Linked DNA regions of Sus scrofa. The protein of the gene in region 6 interacts with the protein of the main gene of each other region in a pairwise test. Links are inferred from orthologs where the notes say so. Each region holds a gene or a part of one and is shown on either strand. Other genes may lie near its edges.

Evidence for each region.
Region 1: the proteins of CDC5L (region 6) and SH3BP5 interact in a two-hybrid assay, tested with the Homo sapiens proteins (2 studies listed by BioGRID and IntAct). The link is inferred for Sus scrofa from reciprocal best matches to the Homo sapiens genes CDC5L and SH3BP5.
Region 2: the proteins of CDC5L (region 6) and myomegalin interact in a two-hybrid assay, tested with the Homo sapiens proteins (2 studies listed by BioGRID and IntAct). The link is inferred for Sus scrofa from reciprocal best matches to the Homo sapiens genes CDC5L and PDE4DIP.
Region 3: the proteins of CDC5L (region 6) and BICRAL interact in a two-hybrid assay, tested with the Homo sapiens proteins (2 studies listed by BioGRID and IntAct). The link is inferred for Sus scrofa from reciprocal best matches to the Homo sapiens genes CDC5L and BICRAL.
Region 4: the proteins of CDC5L (region 6) and KIF3C interact in a two-hybrid assay, tested with the Homo sapiens proteins (2 studies listed by BioGRID and IntAct). The link is inferred for Sus scrofa from reciprocal best matches to the Homo sapiens genes CDC5L and KIF3C.
Region 5: the proteins of CDC5L (region 6) and GSE1 interact in a two-hybrid assay, tested with the Homo sapiens proteins (2 studies listed by BioGRID and IntAct). The link is inferred for Sus scrofa from reciprocal best matches to the Homo sapiens genes CDC5L and GSE1.
Region 7: the proteins of CDC5L (region 6) and YWHAQ interact in a two-hybrid assay, tested with the Homo sapiens proteins (2 studies listed by BioGRID and IntAct). The link is inferred for Sus scrofa from reciprocal best matches to the Homo sapiens genes CDC5L and YWHAQ.

What each region holds. Positions count from the first base shown.
Region 1 is NC_010455.5:2,505,602-2,509,101, forward strand, and holds part of SH3BP5 (SH3 domain-binding protein 5), read right to left. Parts: coding exon 3,398-3,500; intron 1,815-3,397; coding exon 1,554-1,814; intron 1,206-1,553; coding exon 997-1,205; 3' UTR 1-996. UniProt on the Homo sapiens protein: Functions as a guanine nucleotide exchange factor (GEF) with specificity for RAB11A and RAB25. Inhibits the auto- and transphosphorylation activity of BTK. Plays a negative regulatory role in BTK-related cytoplasmic signaling in B-cells.
Region 2 is NC_010446.5:100,650,619-100,654,118, forward strand, and holds part of myomegalin, read right to left. Parts: intron 2,459-3,500; coding exon 2,342-2,458; intron 1,772-2,341; coding exon 1,539-1,771; intron 682-1,538; coding exon 538-681; intron 1-537. UniProt on the Homo sapiens protein: Functions as an anchor sequestering components of the cAMP-dependent pathway to Golgi and/or centrosomes.
Region 3 is NC_010449.5:37,925,153-37,928,652, forward strand, and holds part of BICRAL (GLTSCR1-like protein), read left to right. Parts: intron 1-2,429; coding exon 2,430-2,532; intron 2,533-3,500. UniProt on the Homo sapiens protein: Component of SWI/SNF chromatin remodeling subcomplex GBAF that carries out key enzymatic activities, changing chromatin structure by altering DNA-histone contacts within a nucleosome in an ATP-dependent manner.
Region 4 is NC_010445.4:112,997,924-113,001,423, forward strand, and holds part of KIF3C (kinesin-like protein KIF3C), read left to right. Parts: intron 1-227; coding exon 228-346; intron 347-802; coding exon 803-919; intron 920-3,500.
Region 5 is NC_010448.4:3,654,765-3,659,013, reverse strand, and holds the start of GSE1 (genetic suppressor element 1), read left to right. Parts: upstream 1-1,449; 5' UTR 1,450-1,721; coding exon 1,722-3,683; intron 3,684-4,249.
Region 6 is NC_010449.5:39,387,397-39,390,896, forward strand, and holds part of CDC5L (cell division cycle 5-like protein), read left to right. Parts: intron 1-91; coding exon 92-195; intron 196-1,655; coding exon 1,656-1,817; intron 1,818-2,907; coding exon 2,908-3,035; intron 3,036-3,500.
Region 7 is NC_010445.4:126,766,295-126,769,794, forward strand, and holds part of YWHAQ (14-3-3 protein theta), read left to right. Parts: intron 1-558; coding exon 559-682; intron 683-3,500. UniProt on the Homo sapiens protein: Adapter protein implicated in the regulation of a large spectrum of both general and specialized signaling pathways. Binds to a large number of partners, usually by recognition of a phosphoserine or phosphothreonine motif.

The DNA.
Region 1 (3,500 bases), on a different chromosome or scaffold from region 6:
GAAAAGGACAAATGAAATACAAAGCTCTAAATGCATGTAACCATGAAAACAAGAACAGCAGTCACATAACATACTATTAGCATAACAGACGCCACTGCTTCTATTTAACAGCCTTTGCCAACACATGCCTACTCCCTTTCCTAGCTGGAAGGAACAGTTTCCTCTAAGAAATACTAGTGCATCATAATTTATTGTTAAAGTTACAACCTATGGAGAAATTAACACCTTGTCGATCTAGAACACTGGCAACCATTCCTCACATGCAACTTCTCTTAGAATAAGTCCCCTTGGCTGATGGGATGAGGTTTATGCTACAGAACCTTCTCCCCAACAGCCACGAACCCCCTTCTGTGACAGGCCCCTGCTGCCCTTGTCCCCCTCCCCAGACCAGCATTCACCTTTCCCACCCCCAAAAAGTGCAGCTCATGGTAAGCTTATATAGAAAATGATTTTAATGGGTGTCCCACCAAATATACTCTTCTAAAATCCCCCTCCATAAATCAGAGATAATGAACATGAACTGTGTTCTCGGATTTTTTTTTTTTTTTTTTGGAAAGCTTTCACTGGGTCAAAAAGGTGTTGAGTTTTGTCTCATGTATTTTTTTCCTTTAGATCCCAAGGGATCTAAAGGAGAAAACAGGTCATTTTCCCAGATGACCCTGGCCGGGCTCGGTTTCCCATCCCCTTTCCTGACTCGGGGTCTTTCCCAGGGACCAGTTATTGCTTCCATGACACGGTGACAAGGAACGTCCTACAAAGGCTGTGGGCCTGCTCACAGCCCACCTGCAACGACACCTCTGCGCTGAAAAACGCTCCAGCCCAAGAGCTGTCACCCAGAAGAAACATCTTCTGCCCTCAAGGTCACTGAAACGTTCTTAGTGCAGTTTAGAGGAAATGCTAGGATTTGGCATACATCAAAGGATTATTGGCACAACGCTCTCCGTACAGTTTCGTGTATAAATATCGCTGTGTGCTTAGGCCAGAGCCACGGCTGGATCAGCCGACCTGCACCATGCTCATGTCCACGAGGACCTCGTCTCTGCCCTTGGAGCCCTGCAGGGACAGCTGCCGCATCCTGTCCTCCAAGGCCCGGGCCTCGGACGGGCCACTCGGGCTCTTGCCGTTGTCACCGCCGCTGCTGCCGAGACCCCGATGACTGCCGGCTTTGTCACTCGTTTTATTTTCTGCCCCTTCTGCCCTGTCTCCTGTAGAAACGTAAAGATCAAGGCGTGAGTACCAAGCCCGTCAGCCGGCTCAACCCAGACTCTCCCAGTGCTGCTCCACCGAGCCTGTCACAGAAGCCCCTCCATCGCGTTAACGTCTCACTGCCTGTGTTTCTCGAGAAACTCCGTATATCCCTCATCTTTAGAGATGAAATCTGTCACACCCCTGTGACAGCTGGGAAACAGACCTCTCTAGCAGGTGCTTGTCAAGAGGACTATTGTGATGAGAGGCAGAAGGACGCTGATCCTGGTCAGGCACGGAGCTGGGAACCATCTCTGTCCCCACCCCAGCACGTCCCCAGCACCCCGGCATCCAGGACGGGCACTCACCTCGCTCCACCTCGCACTCAGGAGAGGAGGCCCCACTGCACTCGCTGCGAGGTCCCAGCACCGGGAACATCATCCCGAACTCCGACAGGGACACAGGGCTGGGCAGGTCCAGGCTGCCCGGCCTCACGGCCACAGGGCACCGGTCAGGCACCTCGGACGGACTTGTGGGTCCTGAGCTGAAGCTGGACACAGACTGGGTTTCCGAGTCATCTTCAGACACGAAGGTGCTGCAGTTGTCATCTTCGAAGGCCTCGGAGGCCACTAGGATGAGAGGGGACAGTCGTCACACAGGTCTGAAGGACAGCAGCCCGGCCCCTACACACCTCCAGATGTGTCCACTGCTGGAGGAGCTGGGCAGGGGCTGGGAACTGCAGGACCCGGCCACTGTGGGCACCTGATGAAAGGGACGTGGCTCGCCTGTACTCGAGTGGCCAGGCTCTGGAGCACCCTGAAGAGAAGCCGCTGGGCCCCGTGGCTGGTCAGTATCCTTCCCGTCACTTTACAGCCCCTGCCTTGGAAGTCACCGTCACCAGACCCTGCCTCATGATGGAAGGTGAATTCAGCCAAAGATACGGGGCTTTTCTTCACCCCAGTCCCCAAGATAGATCCCCAAGAGCACAGGAAGAGGGCTGGCCTGCCCAATGCATCCTAAACAAAGCCAGCCAGACTTGAGGAATCTTCCTCCGTTCTGTGGGAGCAGCAGGAGCTGCTGGACGAGACAGCTCTGTGCGGAATGTCTGCTGGGACCTCTGTCTCCCTCCAAGTAACTTGTGATCCCATAAAAGACATGCTTAGAGCCCACAGAGATCACCATTTGCCACAAAACAAAAACAAAAACAAGCCCACAATACCTTTATGTTGCTCTGTAGCTTGTGCCTTACTCGTTTTGTGGACCAGAATAAGCAAGGCCCAGAGATTCTGGTGGTTTAAAAGCTGCCTCGGCCTTAAACTATTTACTCCTCAGCCCACATGCCATCCCACGCCCTTGTCCTCCTCCCTCAGCTTTAAAAACGACCTGTGGCATCCCATGGAGGACTGGCGCCCATGAGAAGGACTGTGATGCTGGGCACAGACAGTGGGCTCAGATCTGAGAGCAAATCCTTTCTCCGCTATATGCTCTGTAGCCTCAGTCAAGTTACTGAACCTCTCTCAGGTTCATGTTCCTCTCCTCACAGGTTTACGAGATGGTGAGCACTAATGTGCTCACATCACTGATGCTCAAATTATAATTCCTTCTTTTACCTGGGGCCTGACGCGTGAACATCTGTTGGCTGAATTAAAGCCCACCTGAGGAAGGTGGCAAGAGCCATCACTCCACAGAAGGGGCAAAAAAAGGTCCCGGAGGCGGCACTGGGGGAGGGAGCGGGGGTTCTGGATTGACATAGGGGGAGCCGAAGCAACTCTCTGAGTCAGTTTCCCAGGGGTGGCCAGACACCACATGCATTGTCCATTGGGGGCTGGCACTCCTTCAATTAAACCTGACCACTGCTCTACACAGTGGACATCAGGGACTATCATGTGCCCTGCTTTACTGGGGAAGAAAGAGATAGAAGTTACATGCTTGCCCGCATCACGTACTAGTCATGGTGCAAAGGCCAGGACTCGAATCAAATCGGATTCCAAAGTCCCTATTCCAGACAACTCTTCATCCCTGCAGGACTTCTCAGAGCCTGGAATGCCCTCATATTACTTGGGGATGAGAGTGTGACATTTTCCAAACATGACCACAGAATCCTGATTCTGCAGATACACAGCAGCATCTTGGTGACTAGTGTCCCAAAACAGGGTGGGAAGGGGGTGGGGGAGAGAAGAGCAGGAGCAGGCCACATGCACCCCCAACTCACCAGAAACAGCATCGGGCTCGGGCTTGCCCCCTGACAGGTCCTCAGTGGCTGTGCTGCCCCCCTCAGCGCCGACGCCACGGCCGCGGGGCCCCATGGCACTGGA
Region 2 (3,500 bases), on a different chromosome or scaffold from region 6:
ACCAGAGAGCCAGCCTGAGATATGAAAGCCCCTGGGGGAGGCGGACTCTCCCTAGGACTGACCCAGAGAAGCTGATTTAAGTGATTTTTCTGGGATTCCAGTGGGTGGCTAAAAGAGGCCAGTTGACTTCTGGTGACATTCTGTGATCCTGCCTGACTATGTGGACCTGGGGGTAAGGTGGGGATGGGAAAGGAAGTATTGATGTTTCAACATGGCCAAGAACTTCAGCTCAGCTAAACTTTGGAAAAGTGAAGAAACCAAAGGTTTATGGGTTACCCGGGCTCTCATGTCTGCCTATTCCATATCTTTTCCTTTTTCTCTTTGATTACTTGTTTGAGGGGTTGTGGGTGGGAGGCGAAGAGATACAGTCAGAGATAGACTGAAATCGGCCATCATGGGGAAGTCTCCCTCCAGGGACACTCCCATCAGCTCCCTCTGTCCCAACTGACCATTTGGCTCCCAAACTTCAGGATGTGCAGACCAAGGAGGCAGAAGGATATCTGGGGGCAGGACCTGTAGACGATGCTGGTTTCTTACCACTTTGCCAGCCAGTGCAGGGCCTTGGGAGCTTGGCAAGGCTGCTCGCCAGAACATGGTGAGGAGGGAGGTCGACTCCTCCAGCCGCTGGTGCAGAGTGTTGGTGCTGCTCAGGAGCTCATGGACACCTTTGCTGCCCATCTCCTGGGAAAAGGGGGAGGTAGCCATGGGTATCCCTGGGGCTGAGAAATCACTTCTTTTTTCCTGAGCATAAGCCTCAGCTTCTTTTGTGAGTGAGGCGCAGACGTGGTCTACTTGACCCTGTGAAATTCTGATCTCAGCAGGAACACCCTATGGCAGGAATTCATTTGATTCCAGCTTCCCCCATACTCTTTAACTTCTAGCCCTGCTTTGTGCTTTAGAATCTGAGGTCCTTAGTTTTTGCACTGGCCCCATCTTGCCCTTCCCTAAATCACAGCTTATGCATCAGATGAGCTGCACTGCTTGTAGGACTGAGGTGCCACTCCCTTTGTCTGGTATTTCTACTCCCCAAAGAACTTATGCACCCCCTGTGGACCTGTTACTTTCCCTGCTTGGGATAACAGCTGACTCTGGGTTCATGCTGTCACTCCCACAGCACGTCCGATATCACGCCTGCCCATATGGATTCAAATTCTCAATTCCTAGCCAACTGACATATTTTTTTTTTCTTTTCTGCCTACAGATGGTCATGTGCAAGCATGGCTTCAGTAGATAATAAGCAAATAAAAGGTACTCAGTACAGCACCACATGTATGTTGACACTTAACATGCTCTACTGATGAGGATGGCAATGAGGATGGCAGTGCTGTAAAAGCTTTTCTGTGGTTCTGAGGGGGATATATCAAGTCAGCTACATATAGAACAGAGCAGAGCTTATAGTGAACTTAGCAGATGAAAATGGAAGATTGGAGCTGGCTTCAGATCTGGAGCATGAAAAGAAATAGCAGGAGAAGGAGCTAAAATCAGAAGAAGAAAGGCCCTGAGGAAAAAGGTGCACCTGAGAGCTATGATATGATTACCTCTGGGCCTGGAGCTTCAAGGCCAGGAAAGTTGCAGGTTGATCTCATGAGAGATGCTATCTTCTTGACCAGCAGTCTGCTCTCCTCAATCTGCTGTCTTAGGGCACTGTAGTCATCAATGTGTCCAATGACATGGCGGCCATGCTTATTGGCAAAGCAGCCGTCAGTAGCATCACCTTCCAGCTTGGGAGGGTGAGGGTTCTTCTTCACTGGAGAAGCATCCAAACCCAGCTCTGAGGAATAATACCACAACACAACAGAATCCACTGTTATTCATAAGCATATTCTCAGTTCAATCCAAAAAGGACATCAAGTAGTGAGAGAGGCCAGAAACAAGAAATCTTGACAGTCTTGGAAAGCACAAGTGTGAAGTCCATAGGTACTCTGGGTTTTATATTCTATAATCTTTCTTATATCACCTCATGATGATAGACTGCCAGGAGGCAGCTTTTATCCTTATCGACCAATAAAGTATTCAGGGCAGATATAATTAATAAAAACTTTTAAATTTGGGGGTTGAGAAGACACAGACAAGGAAATTAAGTTGGATAGAGAGCACTTTTAAGAAGGCAGAGATTATAGTGCAATGAGGCAGTACCAGAGCAATAGGAAAGCCATAGGAGAAAGAAAAATGACAAAAAAAGGCAGCCACAGAAGGTGCAATAAGTAGGGCTAAGGGCCTTGGGACATGCAGAAAAAATCTCTCTAAATTCAGATAATGTACATATAGAGAACCAACTATTAGTTGCATCAATAACTTTCCATCATCACTAGACCCTGAGCCCTGTAGTTGTGCTGTTTACCATTTGTCCTATTGAAGGTTGTGGTCTCTGAGCCAGGAGGAGCAGAAGAAGAGCTGGGGAAGACCAGAGCTGGAGAATTCATGCCCACATCCCGAACTGGAGGGGAGGCAACTGAATCTAGCAAGTAAAGATAATCACAGCTTTAGGAACCCTGGAAAATGCTGCTCCCCAAATGCATGCACAGCTTAGGCTTTGCCATTGGAAATCTAAGGTAACATGACGCTCTTCTTACCTAATCGTCATCCATGTACCCACAGTCAAAACCAATGGCAAATAAATCACTTATTTTGCAAAAGTAAGATGTTCCTATAATTGAAGGGTGTTCCATGAGAAAGTGACTTCCAGTTTGAAAAATGATTAGGTATGTTTTTCTAACCCCAGATTTGAATATAATTTTGTATGTGGTATGTCTTTTACCATGCTTTATAACTAAATAGAAATATACCTAGATATATACACTATGTATATATATATATATATATATAAATATTTCATCAAAGAATGAATGGGTTTATGTGTGATTAAACTCAGCACTCTAATCTCCATTTTGATGAGTGAAATATAGAGTAGTATGAGAAGAATAGGAGATAGAAGCCCTGGTAAGTTTGAGATGCCCTACTGGAGCCCAGGCAGCAAACCTCCAGGGAGGAATTGGAAAATCCCACCAGGAGACTGAAATAATCCTGGTCAAGCAAATGTGGCTTAGAGCCTGCTTTCCAGCTCAGGTCTCTATGCTGGAGGAGAAGGAGGAGTGACTGGGCCAATGGGGCTGAGTCCTGGCTGGTGTCGTGGGGAGGCAGTCAGAAGGGAAAGCCTGGTTAGAGGAAAGATGAGCAGTACTGAGACAGAGCATAGTGAGGTGGAAGGAACAGAGACTGGAAATCAAAACTTCTGCTTTGAATTCTGGGTTGGCCTCTAACTCCAGGAAACTTAGAATGTCTTTTAATTGTCTCAATGCTGAAGTTTTCTCATGTGAAATACAGAGGCAATAAAACCTGTCCTATCTCTGATGAAATTATTTGAAAAAGCACTTGAAAACGTGGTGAATGTTAAAGTACCCTGCACACATAAGGAATAGACATTAGGGAGAGGAGAGAAGATGACAGAGTCAAAGAACTTGAGCTTGCCTCCTCTCAAAAAAACACCAAATCACAACTAA
Region 3 (3,500 bases), about 1.5 Mb from region 6:
GCTGTGACTCAGGTCACTGCTGTGGCGTGGGTTCTATCCGTAGCCCAGGAACTTCTTCATGTCGTGGATGCAGCCAAAAAAAAAAAAAAAAAGTACTTTGGGAGATTAGCTAAATTACATTATACACATCGTGTATACAGTATAGTATAAATATGTGTATGTATGTGTTTTTACTAAAATGTATATATTTACAGACATATCTCAGAGATACTGTGGGTTTGGTTATAGACAACGGCAGTAAAGTGAATATCGCTTTAAAGTGATTCACACAAACTTTTTGGTTTCCCAGTGCATGTAAAAGTTATGTTTATACTATGCTGTGCTCTACAATGTATGTAGTAGTGTTGCATCTGAAGCAACAATGTGCATACCATAATTTTAAAAATTCATTCCTAAAATATGCTAACTAACCCTCATCTGTGCCTTCAAGTGAGTTGTAATCATTTTGCTGGCTGAGGTTTTGAAATATTGGGATAATTACCAGAATGGGCTACAGAGACAGGAAGTGAGCAAATGTTGGAAAAATGGTGCTGATAGACTCTCTTGACTCAGGGTTGCCACAAACCTTCAATTAAAAAAAACCCAGGAGTTCTCGTCGTGGCGCAGTGGTTAACGTATCCGACTAGGAACCATGAGGTTGCGGGTTCGATCCCTGGCCTTACTCAGTGGGTTAAGGATCCAGCATTGCCATGAGCTGTGGTATAGGTTGCAGACTCGACTCGGATCCTGTGTTGCTGTGGCTCTGGCGTAGGCCAGTGGCTACAGCTCCGATTAGACCCCTAGCCTGGGAACCTCCATATGCCTCTGGAGCGGCCCTAGAAAAGGCAATAAAACAAAAAGACAAACAAAACAAAACAAAACAAAACAAAAAACATAGTATCTGCAAAGTGCAATGTAACAAAGTGTGTCAGTACTTATATACATTTATTAAAAAAAAAAAAAAGCCACAGCTGTGGCACAGGTTGCAGCTGGGGCACGGGTTTGATCCCTGACCCAGGACCTTCAGTGTGCTGCAGTTGCAGCAAAAAATTAATAATAATAAAAATAAAATTATACTACCAAAGTCTGAAATTGTTGTTCTTATAGTTAAGATTTGATTCTATACAGCCAAAAATAATTCTAAGGAAAGCCTTAATAAAAAAATATAATTATAGCATAGTACAATATAAAGTGAAACATCCTATTGAAAAGATTTCCAGGAGTTCCTCTTGTGGCTCAGCGGGTTAAGAACTTGACTAGTATCCATGAGGATATTATGGGTCCTCACTCAGTGGGTTAAGGATCCAGTGTTGCTGAAAGCTGTGGCATAGGTCACAGATACAGCTCAGATCTGGCATTGCCTTTGCTGTGGCTGTGGTGTAGGCCAGCAGCTACAGCTCCCATTCAACCCCTAGCCTGGGAACCTCCATATGCCACAGGGTGCCGCCCTCAAAATAAAAAGAAAAAAAAAGAAAGAAAATATTTCCAACATATTGGAAATTTTCTTAGGAGGAAATAAGAAACGTACAGAACAGGAGTTCCATGATGGCTCAGTGGATTAAGGATCTGGCATTGTCACTGCTGTGGCTCTTGTTACTACTTTGGCTTGGGTTCCATCCCTGGCCCTGGAATTTCTGTGCTGAGAGCCTAGCCAAGGGAAAAAAAAGTACAGAACAGTGTAAGTTACTGCCATTTTTGTGCAAAAATAAAGACGAATGTAAATTTGAGTGTGCACATAAAATATCTCTGGAGAAGTTTATTAAACTGCGTGGCACGATGCTGGGGAGGCAAAGAAGGAAGGCTTACTTTCACATCTCCTTTAGTACCTTTTGAAGTTTGTACCAGTGTTGTAAATTACCTTTTCCCCAAAAGTGCAATTTTTTTAAAAAAGCACATCCTATGTATGTAGCAAGGATACATGCAACAAAATGGGACCGGAACCTTTAGACCACATTCTCCTTTTCTCTTTTTTTCCTTTTTGGTTTCTTTTTTCTTACTGGCCACCCTGTGGCATATGGAGTTCCTAGACCAGGGATCAGATCCAAGCCACAGTTGCAACCTAAGCCCACCATTCTCCTTTCTGATTGCTTCCTTTGTCCCAAAGACACAGAGAGATGTTTGTACTTGTATGCTTGCTAAAAGGCATCTGAGGAGTTCCCGCTGTGGCGCAGTGGTTAACGAATCTGACTAGGAACCATGAGGTTGCAGGTTCAGTGCCTGGCCTTGCTCAGTGGGTTAAGGATCCGGCGTTGCCGTGAGCTGTGGTGTGGGTCGCAGACGCAGCTTGGATCCCTCATTGCTGTGGCTCTGGCGTAGGCCAGTGGCTACAGCTCTGATTAGACCCCTAGCCTGGGAACCTCCGTATGCTGAGGGAGCGGCCCTAGAAAAGACAAAAAGACAAAGAAAAAAAAAAAAAGGCATCTGAAATGACTACAGCCTCTCGTTTGCAGCGGATCAATCCCTCTGCTGAGATGGTGATGATCGACAGAATGTTCAACCAGGAGGAGAGAGCTGCCCTCTCCCGGGACAAGCGTCTGGCCCTCGTGGACCCCGGTAAGAAACTTCAGAGTAAAAGCAGAGGAGAGCTGCTGCCATGGTTCAGGAGCCGAGGCTTTGGGGACACTGAACCAACCTTTGGGGTAGGAGGCCTGAAGGTGGATCCTGGATTCCGGGGAATAAAAACCCAGAGTTGCGAGCAAGATATGAATACTCTTGAGTAGGTCTGTGTACTGCAAAATCCCAACTGCAATTTTCCATTCCGTTAAGTGATTCTTTTTTTTTTAAATGTTTTTATTATAGTTGATTTACAGTGTTGTGTCAGTTCTACTTTATAGCAAAGTGACCCAGTCATACATGTAAATATACATTCTTTTTCTCATGTAAACCTCCATCATGTTCCATTACAAGTGGTCAGATACAGTTCCCTGTGCTACACAGCAGGACCTCGTTACTTATCCATCCACTCCAAATGCAGTAGTTTGCATCAGTTAAATGATTCTTCTTCCCATTGTCAACTCAAACTTCTCAGTCTTTCTCTAGTTTTTGAGAACTAAAGAAAGTCAGAAGGCTTCCCAGAAGCAACTAAACCTCAGTGGATGGTGTTACTATGTGCAAGGCCCCCCGGGGGTGGGTGTATCAGTGAAACTCGGTCCCTGCCCACAGGCTGGTAGACTGCAGTGCTCCTTGTAGGTACCATTCTCTCACCCTGTTGGCTTCCTGCCAGTGCATGTGTGCCAGGTTTGACCCACATTCTGCTTTTAAAAACGAATTCTTGGGTTTCCCATTGTGGCTCAGTGGGTTAAGAACCTGACATTGCGTCTGTGAAGATGCAGGTTCAATCCCTGACCTTGCTCAGTGGGTTAAGGATCCAGCATGGCCATGAGCTGTGGTGCAGGTCTAAGATGCAGCTCGAATCTGGTGTTTCTGTATCTGTGGTATAGGCCTGTAGCTATAGCTCCAATTCGACCTCTAGCCTGGGAACTTCCATATGCCACAGGTGTGCCCATAAAAAGAAAAAAAAA
Region 4 (3,500 bases), on a different chromosome or scaffold from region 6:
CGAGGTGGACAGCACCTGAGAGAGATAGCCAGCCGGTTAACAGGCATAAGAGGGACAGGGCTGCCTTCTGAATAACCCGCTCCCAGTGATGGTGGGGCGGCGGGGAGCTCCAGGCGTGGGCCCTGGCCTCATGCTGGGAGGAGCTGGTGGACTCTGAGCCCGCAGCCTCTGGGGCCCAGGCTGTCTGCGCTGGCCGGAGCCTCCGAGCTGCCCCTGTCCCCACGCAGCTCTACGCCAAGCTGCAGGCGGTGAAGGCGGAGATCCAGGATCAGCACGACGAGTACATCCGCGTGCGGCAGGACCTGGAGGAGGCGCAGAACGAGCAGACCCGGGAGCTCAAGCTCAAGTAGGGCCCCTCCTCTTCCGGTTCGGGGTCCTCGCAGCGCCCCGCAGGCGGTACCGCTCCCCGCCGGGCTCCTCTCCTTCCCGAAGGCTTCATTCTGTCTACTCACCCTTGAGTCCCGGCCCCTTAGGAACAGAATGTGTCTGAGGGATGCAGGAGGGGCCCATCTGGGGTCTCTTCGACCCCCTGTTTCCTCCTTCCTTCCTCCACCTGCATGTGATGACCCGCAAGGTGCATGTTGGGTGCTGCCCAGAAGTAGCGCCTAAGGCCCCGAGCTCTGCATTAGAAACGTGATTTTCAAGCGCTAGTACGTCTCCAGGGATCCCCTCCCCCACCTTTTTGGTTTTGCCACCTGTTTCCTCTGCCTCTTTGCTTTTCGCTTTCTCATCCTTCGACCTTCCCATACAGCGGGTGGTCTCACCCCCCCAACCCCCCTCTCTACCTCATCCCTGCTCCCAGGTACCTCATCATCGAGAACTTCATCCCCCCAGAGGAGAAGAACAAGATCATGAACCGGCTTTTCCTGGACTGTGAGGAGGAGCAGTGGAAGTTCCAGCCCCTTGTGCCCGGCGGAGCGTGAGTCTCTCACCCTGTTGTCTGGGCCTGGGGACTCGCCCCAGCTTGGGAGCGGTCGGGGGCCTGTGCGGAGAGGAAGGTTTGGGTGGATTGCGGAGGGCTGGGAAGGATGCCGTCGGAGGACGGGGTGCTCAGGCCCTCGTTCCGGGTCTCCACGGAGGAAGGGCGTTCTGATAAACGCAGTGGTGCTTTGGCCTGGGATACAGAAAATACCCAGGGAGGGACCTAAGGAGGGCAGGAAGAGCATTCCAGCCTCTTGGCAATCCCAGGGAGTGCCCACATTTGGCCAGTCTGGTGAATATTCACTTATCTGAGGCCCAAAATAGCCACAGTCGGTCATATTGCTGAGCACTCTGTGTGCGTCGGGGTTATGTGAGACTTTGCAGGCAGAAGGTAAATCAGGCACAGTCAGAGCTCACAGTCCAGTGGAGAATACAGAGAAGTAATCAGATCAGGAAGTGATAGAGCCCCACTCAGCTGGGTGATTCAGCATTTCCACCTGTTTCCACAACCTCGCCTTGAGGCGCCATTTGCGTGCGTTGGCTGGGTATGGAGCTCCCTCTGCTGGTGGCCATGAAGAACGAGACTGGATGTTCAAACCCAGCGGAGGGACTGTTGCACCCAGCTGGCCCACTGTCCCTTAATTGAAAATCTGTGTACAGAGGTGCTCAGCAGGCCGGACACCAGTGCACTTCCTTGGAGATTCTTTGCTTTATCTATCCCAGGAGTATTAATGCCAGGAGAGGTCAGGAGTCTCTCCAAAGCTCGGGTGGGAGGCTAACTGAGTGGTCTGCAGCTTCTCACTGGAGCATCAGATGCCTGCTTAATCTGTCTACCTTCTGAGGGGCTCATCCTCCTGCAGGCAACACGACCCAAGTTTGTAAATGTCAAGGTCATAAGTCAAGGGCTTTTCAGTGGCATCACTTTGTGGGGGTTTTGGTGTGTTTCGTTGTTGGTTTTTTCTTTTTTCTTTTTCTTTTTTTTTTGGCCGAGGCCATGGCATATGGAAGTTCCCAGGCCAGGGATCAAACCTGTACGAAGTTGCAGCCTGTGCCACAACTGTGGCAATGCTGTCTCCGTAACCCTCTGTGCCACAAGGGAATGTCCTCAATGGCGTCACTTTGGATTTAAAATAAACCTTCAGGAGTTCCTGTCGTGGCTCAGTGGTTAACGAATCCAACTAGGAACCATGAGGTTGTGGGTTCGAGCCCTGGCCTTGCTCAGTGGGTTAACGATCCGGCGTTGCTGTGAGCTGTGGTGTAGGTCGCAGACACAGCTCGGATCCCAAGTTGCTGTGGCTCTGACAAAGGCCGGCAGCTACAGCTCATATTAGACCCCTAGCCTGGGAACCTGCATATGCTGCAGGTGTGGCCCTAAAAAAAAAAGACAAAAGACAAAATAAAATAAAATACACCTGCAGTAATACCTCATCTAACACAGAAGTTCTCCATCCTGGTTGCAACTAGAATCACCTGTGAGTTGGTCTCCAGAGAATCTGATTTTAAAGGATCTTGGGCGGATCCCTGGACTTAAAATTTTTTTTCGAAGCTTCCAGCTGATTCTACAGGGAAGCCAGGCTGAAAAACTACTACTCCAGTGCCATCTGCTGGAGGAGGATGCTGGTCTGTAGGGTTATTTTGTGTTTTCAGAGTTCTTGAGTTGAAGGTTGTAGGTGGAGGAATTTCTTTACATTGAATAGTGACTGGATGAAAGAGGCTCTGAGAAGACATGTAGCTTTTTTTGTTTAATTTTTTTTTGGGGGGGGGTGCTGTGCTGGTGGCATACAGAAGTTCCTGAACCAGGGATCAAACCCAAGCCACAGCAGTGCCAATGTGGGATCCTTAACCACTAGGCCATCAGGGAACTCTCTAGTTTTTAACTTTGAAAAATAAGGACTGAGAGACCAGTACCAAAAATTCCAATAAACCCTTCACCAAAGCTCACCAATTGTTAGCATTTTGCCACTTCTTGCTTTATTCACACACACACACCCAACCATTTGAGATTAAGTTGCAGTCAACCCTTTCCCCATATTTCCTAAGAATGAGGACATTTCTCTTACATAATCACGGTACAGTGATCAAATTCAGGAAATTCTGTATTGACACAAGACTATTACATAAACAATTTTCAATTTTAGCCGGTTATCTTAATAGTGTCCTTTATGGCAATTTCCCATCCCCTGCCCATACCCCACTGGCCCACCTTTGGAGATGCATTGCACTTAATTGTCCTGCCTCTTATGTCTCCTTTAATCTCAAACCAAGAAGGGATCTTGCGTTTTGAAAGTTTCATGCTTTGGAGGAGTTTTATTCATTTCTCAAAACATTGTCCCTGCCATTTTTACTTGACCGCCTAAGCACACAATCCAAACTTCAAAGCATGGTAAGTGCTTTGCCTGAAGCTAAGATAAGCTTTCTGCTTAATGTTTATGAATTTCCATTCTTTTTTTATAATGATTTTTATTTTCTCAGTTATAGTTGGTTTACAGTGTTCTGTCAATTTTCTACTGTACAGCAAAGGAACTCAGTCACACACACACACACACACACACACACACACACACACACACACACACACA
Region 5 (4,249 bases), on a different chromosome or scaffold from region 6:
TGTTTAGTGAGGCTGTACAGCCAGGGAGTTGAGAACAGGGGCCTGGAGCCGGCTGCCAGAGTCTGAATCCCAGGTCCGCCGCTCCCGAAGCGTACACCTTAATGCTCGCCGCCTCCTCATTGTCATCTGTGCAATGGGCTGATCGTGGCACTTAACCCAGAGTTACTGAAAAGAGCGACCGAGAGGATGTGTATAAACTGCTTAGACTCTGCACCTGGCGCATGCTAAGGTCTCTCTCTGTGTGTTTAAGAAATACATGATCTACACGTGTGACTTGGAACCAGTTAATCCCCTGAAAGGCCCAGACTTGTTGAGTCATCGCCCTGGAACACACAGCCTAGACACACGGGACCCTTTTTGTCCCTGGCCAGCAGTGGGGAGGGGCGGGGCAGCCGAGTCTGTCCCCAGGATGGCTGGTGCATTCACTAAGGTGTTCAGGCCACCAGGAGACAGCCCCTCTTCCCTGTCACCAAAATTAGAACCCTGGGCCCTGAAAGATACCCCGGATCCAGGACTCCTCAGGGCTGTAAAGGGCCCTTTAGATGGGGGTGGGGGGCGGGTGCTGAGACCCTTTGGAATGGGGAGAGGGCCGGCAACAGCCCAGCTCACTGGGCAGCCTCCCTCCTCTAGAGAGCTGCCCTTCCTCGGCGGGCTCTCCGGGGACGCCGGCCGCGTCCTTACCTGGCTCCTCCGGCGTCCTGCCTGACCTTTACTTAAAGACCAGCTCTAGCGGCTGATGGGTTTTCGCGGGTCCCGGAGGAGACCCTTCAGACGGCTCGAGCCTGGCGCGCTGGAGAGAGCCCCCTAATTGGGGCAATGAATCACCGAGCGCGGCTCCCGGCTGGACACAAAATAGATAGAGGAGCCGGCGAGCTATTGTGCGCAGTTTGGGACCGGGGGGGGGGCGGGGGGGGGTTGGGAGGGAGGCAGGGAGGAGGAGGTGGTGGAGGAGGAGGAGGGAGGCGGAGGGGAGGGAGGGGAGGGAGCGCGAGGGAGGGAGTCCCCCGCCCGCCGCGCTCCCGCCCTCCCGCCCTTCCCCTCCCCTCCCCTCCCCTCCCCTCCCCTCCTCCCTCCTCCCCAATTAAATGACCCAACGCTTTGGCAGGCGCCGGAGCTCGCACATGCGGCTGCCGCTCCAGCCGCCCGGGGCCCGCCGCCGCCGCTGCGTTCCGGGCGCGCTCGCCGCGGCGCCGCCGGGGGCTCGGCCGGCCGGGGGGGGCGCCCCTGCGAGCGGCCGAGCGCCCGCGCCCGCGCCGGCCGCCCGCCGCCAAACTTTGCGGCGCGCACACATGCTCCAAGTTGGGCGCGGCGGCGGCGGCGGCGGCGGGCGGTGAGGGCGGCCCGGGGCGCGCGGGGGCCGGCGCGGCGCGGCCATGAGCGGGCGGCCGGCGCCGGTCTCCCGCAAGCAGCGGCTCATGGCAGCCGTGGGCGAGCGGGCGGCGGGCGGCGGCGGCGGCGCGCCGCTCTCCTGCTTCATCTGCGGCGGCGGCATCGGGCGCGGCAAGGAGCTGAAGCTGCAGGTGAAGCAGCCGGCGGCGGCGGCGGGCGCGGGGGCCCCGGCGCAGCCCTTCTTCCCGTTCCTGCAGCAGCAGGAGCCGGCGCCCGGCGCGCGCGAGCTGTCCCCGGCCGACGGCTGCGTGCTGGTGTGCGCCGTGTGCCGCTGCTTCCTGGGCGAGCAGTGGGCCGCCTTCGAGCGCGCCCGCACGCCCGTGGACAAGCGCATGTACTGGCTCAAGCGGCCCCACCAGTGCGACGCGGGCGCGGGCGGGCGCCGCGGGGGCGCCGGGGCCCCCCGCGAGTGGAACGTCGCCTACGCGCTGGGCGGCGCGGCCGACGACGACGAAGACGGCGGCGGCGGCCCCGGGCCCCGCGCGGCCCCCGAGGAGCCTCGAGATTCCGAGCTGTCGGAGCTGTCGGACACAGACCCCTTCTCCGAGCCCGACCCCGCCGCGCGCGACGCCGCCAGTCCCCGCCAGGACGGGGCGCCAGCGGCGCGGGCCGCCCCCGGGCCCGGGCCTCGCGGGGGCCGCTGCCCGGAGTGGAGGCCGGCGCCGGGACCCCCTCCGGGACTGGGCGCGGAGACCCCCACGCCGGGGGACCTGGAGGACGACGGGATCCCCTCGAAGCTCCACGTGGACGGGGAGCCCAGGGCCGGCATCCGGCGCCGGCGCAAGGGCGCTGGGAGGCCCTGGGCCCCAGAGGCCCGGGCCAGCGTCCTGAGGGGCCTTCCGGACCCTTGGCAAAGGCCTCCGGTCCAAGGCGCCCCTGCAGAGGGCGTGAAAGGAGCCCCTCTGGGCAGGGCCGCCAAGACTGCCGAGAGCAAACCGCTGGCGGAGACGCGCGCTTCTGAGGACAGTGACGTCAACATCACCAGCGAGGAGGAGGACCGCAAGGAGCAGCCTCTCCCAGGCCCCTGCTGCCCCAGAGACCAGGACGCCGCTGGCGGGGGCCGTGCCCCCCGGGCTCCCCTGGAGAGCCGGGCTGCACCACCAGAGGGCCTTTGCTGCTACATCTGTGGGTGTGCGCTGTCCCCGGCCTCGCAGCACCAGATCCACGTGCAGAAGCAGGAGAAGCTGGCCCAGGCGCCCTTCTTCCCCTTCCTGTGGCTGCACAGCCCGCCCCCGGGGGCGCAGCCCATCAGCGAGGGTGGCAGCACCCTGGTGTGCCCCTGCTGCTTCTCCTCCCTCATGCAGCAGTGGCAAAGCTTCGAACTGGCCAACGTGCCGGTCCTGCAGCGGCTCTACGTGGTGCCCCTGAACAGCCACGCTCCCGGCATGGCCTCCAAGGGCAGGAGGCTCCCCAGGGAAGAGGGCCCGCCTGCCGGGGCCCTGCCAGAGGCCTGCTACCTCTGCGGGGAGGACTGTACGCGGGATGCCCGGGCCGTGGCCTGCAGGACCCTCAACGGCAACGCCAGGGGCTCCATGCATTTCCCGTTTCTCAGCCTCCTGCCCTGCCCGCCCAACGCCCAGGGCCCCAACAAGCGCTGTGAGGTCCGCAGCTGCCCCAAGTGCTTCAGCGTCCTGGAGGACGTGTGGGCCCTGTACCGGGCCTGCCAGAACGAGGAGCTCATCACCTCTGTGCAGGGCTTCTTGGGCCGGTACCACCAGGCCTTCTCAGCCTCGGACCCTGCGCTCTGCGAGCCGCCCGCCTCGGCCCAGGGTGGCCCGGCCTCCGTCTGCTACATCTGCGGGGCCGAGCTGGGCCCCGGCAAGGAGTTCCAGCTCAACGTGAACCCCTCCAGCCGCCTGGGCGAGAAGGAGCCCTTCTTCCCCTTCCTCACTGTCTACCCGCCGGCCCCGCGCGCCAGGCCTGCCGACTCCACCGGCCTGGTGGCCACCTGCGTGCTCTGTTACCATGACCTGCTGGGCCAGTGGCTGCAGCACGAGGCCCGCAGCGCCCCCCACGCCATCAGCCCCTGGTCACGGCAGTACCAAGTGGAGATATTCGTGTGCTTCTTCTGCCAGCAGGAGAAGAAGCGGTGTCTCGGGCTCAAGGCCGTGCGGGTGGCCCGGCTGCCCTTGTTTCTGTACACCCTTCGAGCGAGCCACAGCCTGCTCGTGGACGATGGGCGACAGCTGATCATCGGCGCCTGCACGGAGTGCGGGACCCTGGTGTGTGCTGGCCAAGGGCTCACCCGCCAGGGACCCACGGGCTGGAGCTCCCCAGGGGCGGCGGCGAGGAAGGTAAGCAGCTCCGTTCTCGTGTCCTCCTCTGAAACCCGAGCAGGGAAGGAGGCGATGTTGTTTTCTGCACCGCTGCTGGAGAGGAGAGGGGTTTTGCGCCCCGTGTGGTCCAGCAGGAGGGGCGCTCCCCCTGCCCCAGGTCACCCGGCCAGGGCTCAGTGAGCACGCTGACCTGGTTGAGCTCGGAAGCGTGTGACAGGCCAGAGGAGTTGGGAGGCCAGGAGTGGCCTCGTGGAAGAATAGGGCAGTACTGAAAGCAGCAGGCATGAGCCTGAACTTGAGTGTTTGCAGCGGAATCTATCAAACAGAGGAAGTTCGGGGCACGTCTGTCATCCGCCTGATAACATTGGTAATTAGTCCAGCCACGCAGGTCACCGAGAGGTCTCGGCACTCACCCGGTTTGAAACACATCAGAGGTGGAAGTTCCTCTCGACTCTCACTCCCACTCAGTGTAGCTTTTCCAGAATTTTCCACCCAAGTTCACACTTTCCCTCTGAGGCTCTCTGGTTGCTTAAGAGCAGATGGAGACAGATTTCCAGACGTGGGGGTTTGGGACCCCGGGGACG
Region 6 (3,500 bases):
GTCTATATTTCTTTATCCCTAGCACAACCTATTAGAGTTAATTTAAATTTTGTCTTTTCTCACTGTGATTGAGTACACTTTTTCTTTTTAGGATGAAATTTTGAAAGCAGCGGTAATGAAATATGGAAAAAACCAGTGGTCTAGGATTGCCTCACTGCTGCATAGAAAATCAGCCAAGCAGTGCAAAGCCAGATGGTATGTACCAGTTAATGAGTGGAAAACAGAAAACAACCTTAATTATGATGAGGAAAACATTATTTCTTTGAACTTTACCAAGGACAGCAGGCATTGTGATAAAATAGAACGTATGGAGTGGGGGATGGGAATTTAGATTTAAGAATTAGCTGTCATTTGCTTTCTGTGTGATCTCAGGCAAGCCACTTCCTATCCCCTTTCTCCTGCCCCTGTTTCCTCCCAGTTGGCCTTAACTGATGAGAAGTGAGGTGCAAATGAGTCAATGTTGTTTGAGAGTGCTTTGTGAAGCATAAAATACAGCTACTTTTAGGGACAGGCGGACCCTCGCTTATAAGTGGATTGTGTTTAAAAGCTTATGAGTTGCTTGTTTTAGAATGTACTTTCACAAAGAAGTAAATAATAAATAATAGATTATTTTCTAGGCTAGCTTACAGTAGTTGAGTTTCCTCATTAACTAATCCCATTGAATGTTTGCTTCCCCCAAATATAACATAACCCAACAGTACACCTCTGGTGTCCCCTTTTAAGTCACAGGGTAGTGGACACATTAAGCTCTCTACATACGGTTTTGGCGTGAGTGATCTGGCCCCAACTCTGACCCATGTGGTGCTAGGAATCATATTTTGAATTGTATTAGGGTGACCTAATTCCCTAGGTCCCTGGGTAGAGGGAAGGATCAGAATGTAGAGATAGCCCCGCAAAAAGGAAGATGATCCTCAGCCTGTGAAAGTGGTTCTGATTTCTGCTTCTCTAAGCTCCTACTCCAGTATTTAGTTAGGCTTATATATTGTTTGTAGGCCTCTCCATCCACCTAAGTAGACAGGATGGAAAGGGTGGGATGGGGGTGTTAGGAAAAATAGAGATGACATGATAGTTTTCTTAAATTAGAAAAACTCACCCAACAAAGGTATACATTGTCGAAAAGCATTTAGTGAATGTAAGGCAGATGCTTAAAGAAGTAAGCCAGGGTGTCCTGACAATCAAATCAAAGCAAGAGAAAGTACTATGAAAACTAGAAACACAATATAAATATGAAGTGGTTTGGTCTTATTTGCAGATCATTTCAAAACCTCTAATAAAGTGTTGTGAGCCACATGGGAAGTCCAAAACCTCTACTATTTATTAGAGGTTTTGGACTTTATTAAAGTGTAAGATGAATGAAACCAGTCAGTGGTTTAGAAAGAAGGCATATGATCATGTTTCAGTCAAGTTACCTTTTTTAAGCATTACTAACCTTGCATAGTTAAATACAGTAGAATTTAGTGAGACAGGGAATTAGAGATGAGGCAAATTTAACCAAATGGTTAATAATTCTGTTGTAAAAGAAGAACAGTTTTTGTGACTGAAGGATGAGAATTAACTTGCATTTTTCAGAGACTAGAAGTCAGCATGTCTTTTGTGGAAATGGGGTACTCATACTGGGTGACTAATTAAGGTATAAAATGGTGTCTTTTTCATAGGTATGAGTGGTTGGATCCAAGCATTAAGAAAACAGAATGGTCCAGAGAAGAAGAGGAAAAACTGTTGCACTTGGCCAAGTTGATGCCAACTCAGTGGAGGACCATCGCTCCAATCATTGGAAGAACAGCCGCCCAGTGTTTGGAACACTATGAATTTCTTCTGTAAGTGAGTCTCCAAAAGCAGTATTAAAATATGTATGTCGGAGTTCTTGTTGTGGCACAGTGGAAACAGTCCTGCTAGGGTCCATGAGGACTTGGATTCCATCCCTGGCCTCGATCAGTGGGTCGGGGACCCAGTGTTGCCGTGAGCTGAGGTGTAGGTCGTAGAAGAGGATCTGGCTTGGCTACGGCATAGGCCAGCAGCTGTAGCTCTGATTCGACCCTGGGAACTTTCTGGGAACCTTCGTATGCTGCAGATGTGGCCATAAGAAGAAGAAAAAAATATGTATATCTTCTGAATGAGGCCGAATAAACTTTTAGCATTTTCTCTCTTTAAACATTAGTTATAGATCTGAATAAAGCCAGGGGGGCTAAAGCTCTTGGATTATGTGTTCCAAATCTCATGTGCTTGATCAAGATTATGAATCCTGTTATATAGTTTATAAAAGAATAATTTAAAAATATTATATATGGAGTTCCTGTTGTGGTGCAGCCGAAACAAATCTGACTAGTATCCATGAGGATACAGGTTTGATTCCTGTCCTTGTTCAGTGGGTTAAGGATCTGACATTGCCGTGAGCTGTGGTATAGGTCACAGACACGGCTAGGATCTGGTGTTGCTGTGGCTGTGGTGTGGGCCGGCAGCTATAGCTCCATTTCCATCCCTAGCCTGGGAACTTCCATATGCTGTGGGTGCCTCCCTAAAAAAAAAAAATTGTACAAATCATACATGTTCATCATAGAAAATCTGTGGAAAAATGAGTAAAAAAACAAATAAAAATCACGCATAACCACATTGTAGAGAGTTAACTACTTGAACATCTTGGTTCTTCACTGAAAGCTTTTTGGTATGGTTCTCCTGCATTTGTGATTTAAGATGCTGCTTGGATCCTATTTCGTGGTGAATGGAAACAACTGAAATTAGAGAACTTTAAAGCCATCTCTTTCAGGTGAAGCAGTAGTGGAAATGCCTTAATTTGTTAATGCTCATCCATTGGGTTTTTGAAAAAAAGAGTTCCAGCAATAGGGGACCTGGTATTTCTAAGACTAAATGGTGTGGCCATGTGACTAATTACTTTGGGCTCATTTCTAGGGATAAAGCTGCCCAAAGAGACAATGAAGAGGAAACAACAGATGATCCACGAAAACTTAAACCTGGAGAAATAGATCCAAATCCAGAAACAAAACCAGCACGGCCTGATCCGATTGATATGGATGAGGGTAAGTGTTTGTTTGTGAGGAATTTCTGTGGTAACCATAGACTCCTCAGGCCTCTTTTTAACTCTTTTAGTTCTCTTCTAAGCTCCTCTGACTTTTTAGAATCATGGTTCTATCTGCAGTTGTTATTGTAAGTCTCTTTCTATTATAGAGTAATTGTTCTTTTTAGACAGTTCTTTATCTTTTGATATTGTAGTTCCTTTCGTAAGTTAAGCAGTGTAACACTGCTGGACAGGTTTTCTGGTGGCTAGAGGTCAGCCCTTTAGGAATCTATATTCTCATTCCTCTTCAGAGGAGAGAGATAACAGATCAGGATTTGGGGTTCCAGTGCTCTTATTAACTACTTTCGACCCTAGGCAAGTAGTTTGTTCTTCATGAAAAGGTAGCACCACAAAACTATGAGGGTGACAAATATGCCTTTTGAGACATTGAATCAAGAATTAGAGAAACTAGGGAGTTCCCTTGTGG
Region 7 (3,500 bases), on a different chromosome or scaffold from region 6:
TTATACTGTTCAAACTTGATGGCTTAAACATTTTGTTTCCCTCCCTGAAGTGATTGCACATGCTTGTTTTCTCACTGTTGTGTTCCTTCTGTTACTTCTCGACACATCCCTTCCCCGGGGAAGCTTGTCCTAGCAGTGGCCCCTCCAGCAGAGCCAGATAGTCGTCCCCTGTGCTTCCATAGCCCCCTGTTCATGTGTCTTTTATGCCCTGTGTACTGGTCATAGTGTACTTACCTTTTTCCGTACTAGACTGTGAGCTCTTTGAGGGCAGGAACCTTCTCTTTATTTCCCCTCTGGTCACATGCAGTGCCTGGCACCTAGCAAGTGCCTCTTTGAATGAATGGATGAACGAACTGACAGGCTCTTTCTAATTATGATTGTTGATGTCATCTAGCTTTACCGTTAGAAATTATCACTCACTGTGAGCCAAGCCATTCAACTAATGGCAGCCACCTGGCCCCTGCTCTCTAGCCCATGCTTTCAGTCCAGGGTGGCACGGTGTGGAGTGACTGGTAGTTACTTTTATTAGTGCCTAATGTTTTAACTTATTTCTTTCAGGAATTGTTGGATAAGTATTTAATAGCCAATGCAACTAATCCAGAGAGTAAGGTCTTCTACCTGAAAATGAAGGGAGATTACTTCCGGTACCTTGCTGAGGTTGCTTGCGGTGATGATCGGAAACGTAAGTGCGCTTGGTTTTATGGGTACAGCTAAGAAATAAAAGGAGAGCGGGATAAATTCATACTGTTGCCTTACATTCTCAAAAATGAAAACAGTCATGAGTTTACATTATGCGCCCTTTTTGAAAAATTAAACTCATAAACTGATTATAACCTGATAAAGTTTATTAAATATTATTTAAAAAAACATGCAAGTATTGGGCATTCCCTTCGTTGCTCAGCAGTTAACGAGCCCGACTAGGATCCATGAGGATACATGTTTGATCCCTGGCCTCACTCAGTGGATTAAGAATCTGGCATTGCTGTGACTGTGGTGTAGGCCGGCAGCTGTAGCTCCAATTCAGCTCCTAGCCTGGGAACTTGCATATGCCACAAGTGTGGCCCTGAAAAGGAGGAAAAAAAAAAAAAAGCAAATGTCTATCACAGATCCACAAATGCATACATTATGATGGCAACTCCAGAGGCATCATCAGGAGACCCCACTCCTTCATAAATTCCCAAAAGAAGTATGTACAAATATTAAACAAAACACATGTACAAAAATATTCATAGCAGTGTTATTTGTAAGAACACAAACCTCGAAACAATTCACATGGGTATCACCAATCGGATGGACGGACAGATAGTGGTCGGGTCCTGTTTTGAGGATCCCGGCATCCGTCCCCTGGCACAGTGATGCCTGCCTATCCACAAGTAAATTTGCCCCTTTTTTGTACTCAGGCTTGACAGAGGCTTCGAAGCTTTACAACCTTCTGGTGCATTAACCCTTAGCTGTGCTTAGAGGTACATTTCCTGATGTAGGAGAGGAATGAGGGGTTGGTGGGTGGAGGGAAGCAAAATGGAGAGTATCTGGGAGGGGAAGTGAAAAAAGCCCCCATGGGACTAAAGGAGGGATGAGGTGGGGATCAAAGCACATCTGCCTGTGTCATAATTTTGCTTCAGGAACACATTCTAGGTGTACCGTACAGAAGTGAAGAGGCGTTTCCACTGCCTGTAGCCGTGTGGACAGATCTCAGCAATCCGGTGTTGAATAAGGAGTTCCCTGATGGCTCAGTCGGCAGGCTGCGATCTGGCGTTGTCACTGCCGTGGCACACGTTCAGGCCCAGTTAGTCTGTGGCGTTAGAAATCAGGAAAGGGCTTGGGAAGGGTGTCGAAACTGGGGGCGGGGACAGGGGGCCTTCTTGATACTGAGAATGTCCTGTTTCTCGAGCTCGCTCCCAAGGTGACAGACATTTTCTATCAAGAGCCAGATGGTGCATATCTCAGGGTTCATAGGCCATGTAGTCTCTGTCAGCAGCCACTCAGCTCTGCTTTCGTCGTGGAAAGGCGAGTATAGACAACATGTGAATAAATGGCTGTTGCTGTGTCCCAGTAGGGAAAACCCCAGGCTTATTACTCTTTAGCCTTTAAAATTTGGTTCATCATATTTTTAGCCCCAGAGTTCTTTGCATATGCTTTGGATGTCACATGGTCTTTAGCATCTTATATCTGGAAACTTAAGGTAACTGGAAATTACATGTAGGCTAGAGAAATAGGATGTTGTACTTTTTCTGCTTGACATATTAATTCATTAGCTACTACCCATCTTGAAGGATCATAACATTGACTGCTTATTATAGATAACCAGATTTCTGAAAAAGAGAGGTAAGATGAGAGTAGTATTACTGGTATATAATTTATCATAGAAAACATAGATATGGGGCAAAGAATGACCAAGTTACCTAACGTGATTATAAAAAGGTCAAGGTAAACTTATTAGCAGTGAACTCAGTCTCCTGGAGTAATGACAGCTGGGCATGCCATCCTGTTAAATTCTGTGTGTGTTCATCAAGCTATAGAAGTTCCGCTTAACTCATTTTTTTCCCAGAAGTTCATTATTTTCTTCATTTTGCCCCATCCCAAAAGGGCATGTACCCACACACATTACGGCCTCCTCTCCTCTCTGCTCCATAGAGAGACGCTAACTAAAAGTGAGACAGTTCTACCACCCCAAAAGCAGTGTATTTGAGCACATAAAGGAAAACTCTTGTGCCTCACTGTAACACAGTCTGTGTACTGTTGTTATTCATATGTAATTTCTGTTGCTATAAAGATAAGCAGACCTGGACATGATTAGTGTTTGCACAGAACTAAACGCTTAAATGTCAGCCAGCCGAAGGGATCGAGAGGTTGAGCCATAGCCACGCGTTCATCCGATCTAACCATTTCTGACTCGGCCTCTTCTAGTCCTGTGCATAGACTACTCTGGTAGTCTGGTATTTTTTACTACCTACAAGCTGAGACGCCATTCGTACTCATTGTAGCGCTTCCTTCTGTGCCAGGGAGCAAGAGCTCCTTAGTAGGCGAGGGCTGTGCCAGCTGTGATTACCTCAGTAAATGCGCCATTTCAGAGCAAGGAAAATGCACACGTGCTGGCTGTGAAGGAACAGCTTAATTTCTGTTAGGTCCGTCTTTTTTCAAGCTGTAGTGGGACCAAAGGCCTCATTCAGAACACCTGCCCTTTGCAAAACATGGTTTAATCAGATTAGTGTGGGTAGTGCTTCCTGGACGTTTTTTTCAGGAAGGTAACATTAGGCCAGTAATTAAACTCTGGTCAGAGCAGATTTGGATCTATCTCTGGGTGCTTTTATATTGCCTTTCACATAATACACCTTGATACCAAGGGTAGGTGGTGTTTCTACAGGTAAATCACAAAAATAGAGATTTTGGTGGTGATCTTTGTAAAATGTTTCCATTATTTCAGGATGGAACATTATAGCTAGCTTTTTTCCGAACTTTATTGAGTTATTATTGATGTGTGTGTACCAAATTATTTTTAA